Linked DNA regions of Xenopus tropicalis. The protein of the gene in region 1 interacts with the protein of each later gene in a pairwise test. Links are inferred from orthologs where the notes say so. Each region holds a gene or a part of one and is shown in the gene's direction. Other genes may lie near its edges.

Region 1 (3,923 bases):
GATTAATCTCCCCGTGTGCCAGAGCCATAAGTGGGGAAAGCTGCCTGGCTGGCAGAGAGAGACTGGGAATTTATGAAACAGATTTGCCGGTTTCTCCCACTATTTAGCAGATTTAGAATGATATTCAAAATAAGCCCTATGGCATCCAATTTTCATTAGTATCTTAGTCATAAAGTATTACAGATTTGTCCTTATGAGAAGAAGAAGGGCAATAACAATTTTATTTGGCAACACCAAGGGGTTGCGCCTCTGCCATGCAGTGCTGGGGTCCTGAGTTCAGTCCCGGACAGGGTGCTTCCTGCATGAAATTCTTGCATTAGTTCTTCTGTACCCCCACTTACCCCATCCTCCAAACACATACAGGCACTTAACTGGCTTCTGAATAAACTGAGCACAGTGTGTGTGAATGTGATAGGTACCTTAGATAGTTAACTCTGCTGGGGCTGGGCCTCATACATAAATATTTATTAAGCACCTTGGAGATATTTCAACACTTTATATGTATAGACCAATAAATAAAAAATAAACTTCCCTGTTCAAAACTACTACTTACTATAACGCATACTAAACACACTGTTCTCAAGACACGAAAACATTTTCTGACGCTTTAGTCCAATTATTTGCAAAAATTGCAAATGGAAGAACCTAATATACACTCAAACGGGGCATAGCTTTGTTTTATTAGTCAATGAGGGTCTACGTTTCCAGACGCCCAGCATTATTCACTTGCTTGTCTAGAAACTGCAAGTCGATAACAGGTAACACCAACAATAAACATCGCTTCCCGTCTCAAAAAGCAGGTCTCCAAAGCAGCCACGCCTTCTATTCCTCTGATTGGCCAGTTGAGATGTCACGCCTTGCCATCACACCATTTTCCAAAACAACAGGGTGAGATGCGTCACAGGAGGCTGGTCGCTATTCTCTATTATCTGTACGCAAGTGGTAGTGAAAAGGCCATTTATACAGGCGGTCCTTGCGCCCGTATTGCGTAAAGTCTCCATTTCAAGAAATCTTAAGAGAGCGGAAAAGAACTCGGACGCCATTTTGCGTGTTGCTCAGTTTTAGAGCACATCAGCTGTTAACTTTCACTAAGGAACCCTGCCTTTGGATACTGTTTAAGCAGCGTTGCAACGCCCAGGGTTTAGAAGGTTGAACGGTGTCCCAGTGTCTCTTTGGTTATACGAGCAGATTTCAAAATGAGGGGAAGTTTTATGGATCGCGACCGAGGCGGGTGAGCGTTGTTTTGATACGGGCATTTAGCTGCACATTTAGGACGGCGAGGCATTGAGCACTGCATAAATAATATAAGGTTTGATAAGCACATCAAGCTCCGAAGCATTGGCTGAAAATGCGCACTGTTCTCAAGAGGTATCGGGTTTGTTGACGCAGTATAGCGTTGTTTTTGCGATCTGCGCCGGAGCGGAGCGACACAAAGGCACATAGGTGCGACAGCTGCCTCTCACGGTTGGTGGGAGCTGGAATTCGCCAGGAGTTGAAGCGCAGTTTTCCCACCCATTCCTTGCAGTGCTGTGTCCGCCATTACGTGTAAAAGCCTCTGTTTTATTTCAAGGGTAGCCGTGAGCTGAGCGCCATTTAGTTATTTATAGAGTACATAGACTTGCATTCCTCCTGCCCCCTGTGCAACGTGTATAAATAAAGTTTAATTCCCAGTTCTCTATACAGGACATATATTAATTGGGGGCAATAATAAACCCTGAGAATAGGGAAATGATCCCACCTCACACACAGTTTTGCAGGGCCCCCACCAGTAACCTGCACCTTCAGCACAAACCCATGGGCAGATATATTTTTTGTCTGTGCATAATTAGTAGGAATGTATTTCTAGGTGCTTATTATCCATTCACTTTGGATACTGTCTTGTTTTTCATTATATCAATTAATGTTTCTGTCCTTGCTGACCCCCCTTCCTTTCCACTACACCAGTGGCCTCAAAGCAGGTGCCCATTTTTGCATTTCTGACTTGAAGTTGAAGTTTTGGAGGCATAAAGGCCATGTGAACTGCTACAGAGAGCCTTCTGTAGGCTGCTTGTCCACATTGGGCTACCAAATAACCAATCACAACCCTATGGGCTACCAAATAACCAACCACAACCCTATTGGTCACCCCTAGGAACTTTTTTTCATGATTGAGTTGCTTCCCAACTGTTTAATAATTATATGTTGCTCACAGCTAAAAAGGTTGGGGACCCCTGCACTACACTCTAAAGGCTGTGACACACGGGGAGATAAGTCACTATGCGACAAATACTCCATGTCACAGGCGAGTAATCTCCCTGAAATGCCATCCCACTGGCTAGAAGGTAAGGCTGATGCCACACAAGGCGTTTTTTCTCTCGGCGGCTGAAAAACGCCCGATATCATCATCCATAGAATTAACTTAAAAAGACTCGAAGCAAACCACACAATGCGGGAATACACTAGAAAACGCCTTAGCATGGATTTTTCAAGCATTTGCCAAAATACGCCAGTATTTGCACAGCAAGCTATTCCTATTTATACACAAAGACAGCTGCCAGACCTAGTGGAAATACACGGCGTTTTTTACTATTTCACACTATTAGCACCATGGAAACGGGATTTGCTACGTCTCCAGTACTAAGCTGAAAAACGCCATAGTCAGGGGCTGTGTGGCTTGTGCGGCGTTTTGAGGCTGAGAAAAAACGCCACGTGTGGCATCAGCCTAAATCGCCTGTGAGATGGCATATGTGGCACTGCGATTTGCCAAAGTTTCCTTGAGAGAAACTTCGGCAAATCACAGCGCCACGTATGCCACCCCACCGGCGATTTACATTCTTGCTGGTGGGATGGCATTTTGGGGAGATAAGTCGCCCGTGATAAGGAAGATGTGTCGCTCGGCAAATACTGTATATACTCGAGTATAAGCCTAGTTTTTCAGCACCCAAAATGTGCTGAAAAAGGTCACCCTCGGCTTATACTCGAGTCGGTTGCCATGGGTCCCTCCAGACCAGCACCCTCTGTCCTTTGTGTGCAAATTAGGCCCCCCCCGCAACCAGACCCTCCAGTGCCCTGGCCCGTCCCAAATTCATCTTCATCTATCATCCTTACCTGTCCTATTCTGCACTAGACATTGCAATTTATATTCTATATAAACTATACATAGTTTTGAAGGATTTTAACTCTTTGTGTTTTAGCTTGGTTGCTGATTGAGCTAGTTTACTGTATTTCTTTTAAATAAATATTTAAAAACATACCCCACTGATGCCTCCATTAATGTAATTTTATTGGTATTTATTTTGATTATTGAAACTTAGCAGTAGCTGCTGCATTTCCCACCCTAGGCTTATACTCGAGTCAATACGTTTTTCCAGTTTTCTTAGGTAAAACTAGGTACCTCGGCTTATACTCGGATCGGCTTATACTCGGATCGGCTTATACTCGAGTATATACGGTAATCTCCCCATGTGTCAGAGCCCTAACAGCAGTCAGCCCCTTGGGATTGTTCACTAAGCATCAGCTTTTTTGTTTCCAACTGGGGATGTATACATTTTTTATATGATGTAATGAATAGCTTTAGGTTATAATATTCAAAAAGTGCTAAAAAAGTCTCCTGATATACTTTGTTTTTATTTTTTGGATGACTAGTGGTGCTGGTATGTCACGCTTTCCAAAATTTGGAAACCCCGGGGAGCGTCTCCGGAAGAAACGCTGGGATCTGAGTGAGCTGCCAAAGTTCGAAAAGAATTTCTATACAGAACACCCCGAAGTGGCACGCATGACACAGGTGAGTCTGGATGAGCCCCTTCTGTTTTTATGACCATAGGCATGTTTGGGCACCCATGATTTTCTTTTAACGTACCATGGCGGTCAAAATACATGTCTCCACATGCAGCTTGTTATGGTTTGTTTTTTTTTCTATGGGAAAGCTCTACTTTTTACCTGTT
Region 2 (3,923 bases), on another chromosome or scaffold:
TGGTTTAAATAGGTTATTGGGATCTGGAGCTATATTCTCCTACATTCTGAACACATTGCCACTGTTCACATTTAATAAAGGGATCAATGCCCAAAACATTTTGTGTACAATCACATAAAAGTATCTGCAAGGCTTGAATTCTAGAATAAAGTACGCTGGAAAATTTGTTTTGAAAATTGCACTTTGCACATAACACGGTATTAATAAATGTACCTTATAGAACATTGTGTTAAAATGTTAAAGAGGTTACCAAAGGTCTACAATCTATATATCCCTGTATAGTAACAATACTGCATTAGGATTGTTTGACAATAACAGCAAAGGAAATACCAGTAAGATATGTTTGAGTGAAACACAAACATGAAATAGTGTATTAATAATCTGTAGGGGTGGTACTACAAAGGGAAACAGACTAGAGATTCAAAGGGCCTAGAATGGTCCTTACAAAAAAACAATTTTAATTACCCAATTTAGCATATGTTTAATAGTTCTAAAATGAATTTGTTGTGGGGACCAGTAACAACTAATTACACCACTAATAATGTGTAAAAAAAAAATCTACTTTTAACTGAAACGACGTTCTCGGCTTAAAATCACTTGAACAATTATGCACCTCCTATCCAGCAGCCTAGTAACCTGCAAAAGTATATAGAATCGATTCTACTGGGTTGTTTAAAACGCTTTGCATCTGATATGCCAATGTTGTCTCTTTCCAACGTTCCTCTTTACATTTCACTGAAATTTTACAAAAGTAAAATTGATATGAAACAAATGAAACCTTAGAAACCATTGTAGCACAAAAGATTTCACGCGTGAAAGGATGGATCGAAGCTTTAATAAACCTGCAACGTAGCCATTAGCCAACCCATAACGCCCCGTGGGAAACGCAGAGAAATAGCGGAAGTGACGTGCCCAAAGACCACCCCATCCTATGCGATCTTGTAAGAATGACTGCAGAGCTATCCAATAGAATTTTAAGAAAGCCAGAAAGTACCCAATCGCTATTCAGGGCGGTCAATTAGGCGAAACCGCTGCAAAATGGCGGAGTGTAGTTGTGTGTGAAGACACTATCATCCCGTAACTCGCCATGAAGGGAAAAGAGCGCTCCCCGGCCAAGGCCAAACGGTCCCGGGGGGCGGAGGAATCAACTCGCGAGAGAAGCGGAAAAAAACTGAGCTCCGGTGGAGGCAGTAACGGATCATCGGGAAAGACATCTGAAAGCAGCACAGGCCGCCGGAGCCTGCATGTGGAAAAGGCTATTTCCTCGAGCCGCGACTATGATCAATCGAGCAGAGCCCAGGGCTTGCATCGCTACGGCTCCCCCGGGGCAAGCAGTGGCAGTAGCAGCAGTAAAGGTGGCGCTGAGAGCCGAGGCGGCGGCGGCCGGGCTACAGAGAGCCGTGCAGAGCCAGAATACTACAAATCCTTGCGGATAAGCGAGCTGGGCTCCTCGCTAAGTGACGAGGCAATAGAGGATGGACTTTTCCATGAATTCAAAAAATTCGGAGACGTAAGTGTGAAAATCTCTCGCGAGGGGGACGAGCGTGTGGCCTTAGTGAATTTCAGGCGCGCCCTGGATGCCCGAGCCGCTAAGCACGCCCGCGGGAGGCTTGTCCTTTACGACAGACCCCTCAAGATTGAGGCTGTTTATTTGAATGTCGGCGGTACTAACCGGAGGCGCAGCCGCAGCCCTGGGGAGAAAGACTCGTATGGCGGACTCGCCGCCGCTGTTTCCACACTAGCCACACACAGGCACCCTCACGGCCAGCGCGCACTCTCCCCCGGCGGCCTGGGCTACAGAGACTATAGGCTGCAGCAGCTGGCTCTGGGGCGCCTCCCACCGGCTCCGGCAGCTCTACCCAGGGAGCTGGACAGGGAACGGGAATACAGCCTTTATGATAGCCGGCTAAGGTCTACCTACACAGTAGATCCCCGACTGAACTTTAGAGACGAAGACCTTGCTTTAGAGATTGATGCCAGAGCTAATCGTACACTCTTTGTTGGAAATCTGGATGTCGTTGTCAAGGAGAGTGAAATTTATAGGGTCTTTGGACGTTTTGGAACTATTACAGAAGTAGATATAAAACGAGCTGGTCGTGGGCAGCAAACGACCTATGGTTTCATAAAGTTTGAAAACCTTGACATGGCTCACAGGGCAAAGGTTGCAATGTCCGGCAAGATGCTTCGTAGTCATGCTTTAAAGATCGGCTATGGGAAAGTAGTACCAACAAACCGCCTTTGGGTGGGGGGTCTGGGACCTTGGGTACCAGTAACTGCATTGGCCCGGGAATTTGATAGATTTGGCACCATCCGTCAAATTGATTACCGCAAGGGGGAAAACTGGGCGTATATACAATATGAAAGTCTGGATGCTGCCCAAGCTGCCTGTACCCAGATGAGAGGCTTCCCTATGGGGGGTGACCATAGAAGACTTCGTGTGGATTTTGCAGAAGCAGATGTTCGTTTTCCACATCCTTATGTTCAGCCATTACCCATCCCTTATATTGATTTTGGAGAGGAGACACCAGGACATCGGACTAGTGAAGCCAGCAGAGCCAGAGATCGTTCACCACCTTTAATATTCAGGGACAGGGAAAGAGATGCTTATACAAACAATGATTGGGTGTCACCTCCTGCCAGAGACAGACACAGAGTCACTAGTGAATCTCTTGAAACAATAGAACGACGTGCAGATAATTGGGCTTTAGACAGAGACCGTGAAAGAGATGAAGTGAACAGAGATCAGCCCAGGAAAAGGAGACTGGATGATAGCCGTCACCTAGACAGATCACCAGAGAGTGACCGCTCTAGAAAGAGACACTGTGTCACTCCTGAACGTAGCCCTGAAGGCAGTGGAGGTCGAGACAACCGTTACAATGACTCTGATCGAGTAGCATGCCGCTCCTCACCTTCTAGAGATTGGAAGGGAAGCCTGGAGCGGGGTCAAGAAGACAAACATGATAGAAAAAACTCAGTTGAAAGAGAAAGAAGGCATCGTGTACCTGCAAATAAAAGCCCTTTAAAAAAGGATGAGCATCCAGAGGGCAACAGCAAAGTGAAACCTCCACAAAAATCAGAAGCAGCACACAAGCTGTGTCTGGCTTGGCAAGGTATGCTGCTGCTTAAGAACAGCAATTTTCCATCCAATATGCACCTTTTGCAAGGAGATCTTGGAGTTGCATCCAGCTTGCTGGTTGAGGGACCTTCAGGAGGAAAGGTGGCACAGCTAAAAATTACACAGCGCCTACGACTTGACCAGCCAAAGTTGGATGAAGTTACTCGACGCATCAGAGTGGCAGGGCCTAATGGCTATGCCATCCTACTTGCCATTCCTGGTACTTCCGAGGGTTCATCAGTGGACCAAGCCAGTTCAACACAACGACCCCTAAGAAACCTGGTGTCCTACTTAAAACAAAAACAAGCCGCAGGTGTTATCAGCCTGCCCGTTGGGAGCAATAAAGACAAAGATCATGCAGGAGTTCTTCATGCTTTTCCTCCCTGTAATTTTTCCCAGCAGTTTCTTGATGCTGAAGCAAAAGCCCTTGTGAAGTCTGATGATGACTACCTTATAATGATTATAGTTCGTGGGGCATCCTAGGTCCATGTTTGTATTTCTGTCTACTATTCACAAGGTATTATGGGATACAGTATAACTTTTAGTTTTTTTTTTTTTTGTAATCGCAAGTTCAGTCTTTGTATTGCAGTTTTTGATCTGCTTAGCAAAAGCATTTATGTAATTAAACAGGACCGGACCATATTCAAGTGTTGACGTTTCCTGCCTATTTCCCATTTTCTTTAAATTATATTCTCTTAGCATAGGTAATCACAATCTTCTGATTTTGGCAACTTCTTGAATTTTTTTAAGTGTGAGATTTCTGCTAATTTTTGAATACATTACTTCTTAAATTTGGTTCCCAAACTGT

The links.
Region 2: the proteins of ddx17 (region 1) and rbm15 interact in binary tests that used the Homo sapiens proteins (3 or more experiments, as listed by UniProt). The link is inferred for Xenopus tropicalis from reciprocal best matches to the Homo sapiens genes DDX17 and RBM15.

What each region holds. Positions count from the first base shown.
Region 1 is NC_030680.2:120,510,903-120,514,825, forward strand, and holds the start of ddx17 (probable ATP-dependent RNA helicase DDX17), read left to right. Parts: upstream 1-1,054; 5' UTR 1,055-1,196; coding exon 1,197-1,231; intron 1,232-3,624; coding exon 3,625-3,763; intron 3,764-3,923. UniProt on the Homo sapiens protein: As an RNA helicase, unwinds RNA and alters RNA structures through ATP binding and hydrolysis.
Region 2 is NC_030678.2:72,275,592-72,279,514, forward strand, and holds the start of rbm15 (RNA-binding protein 15), read left to right. Parts: upstream 1-995; 5' UTR 996-1,087; coding exon 1,088-3,598; 3' UTR 3,599-3,632; intron 3,633-3,923. UniProt on the Homo sapiens protein: RNA-binding protein that acts as a key regulator of N6-methyladenosine (m6A) methylation of RNAs, thereby regulating different processes, such as hematopoietic cell homeostasis, alternative splicing of mRNAs and X chromosome inactivation mediated by Xist RNA.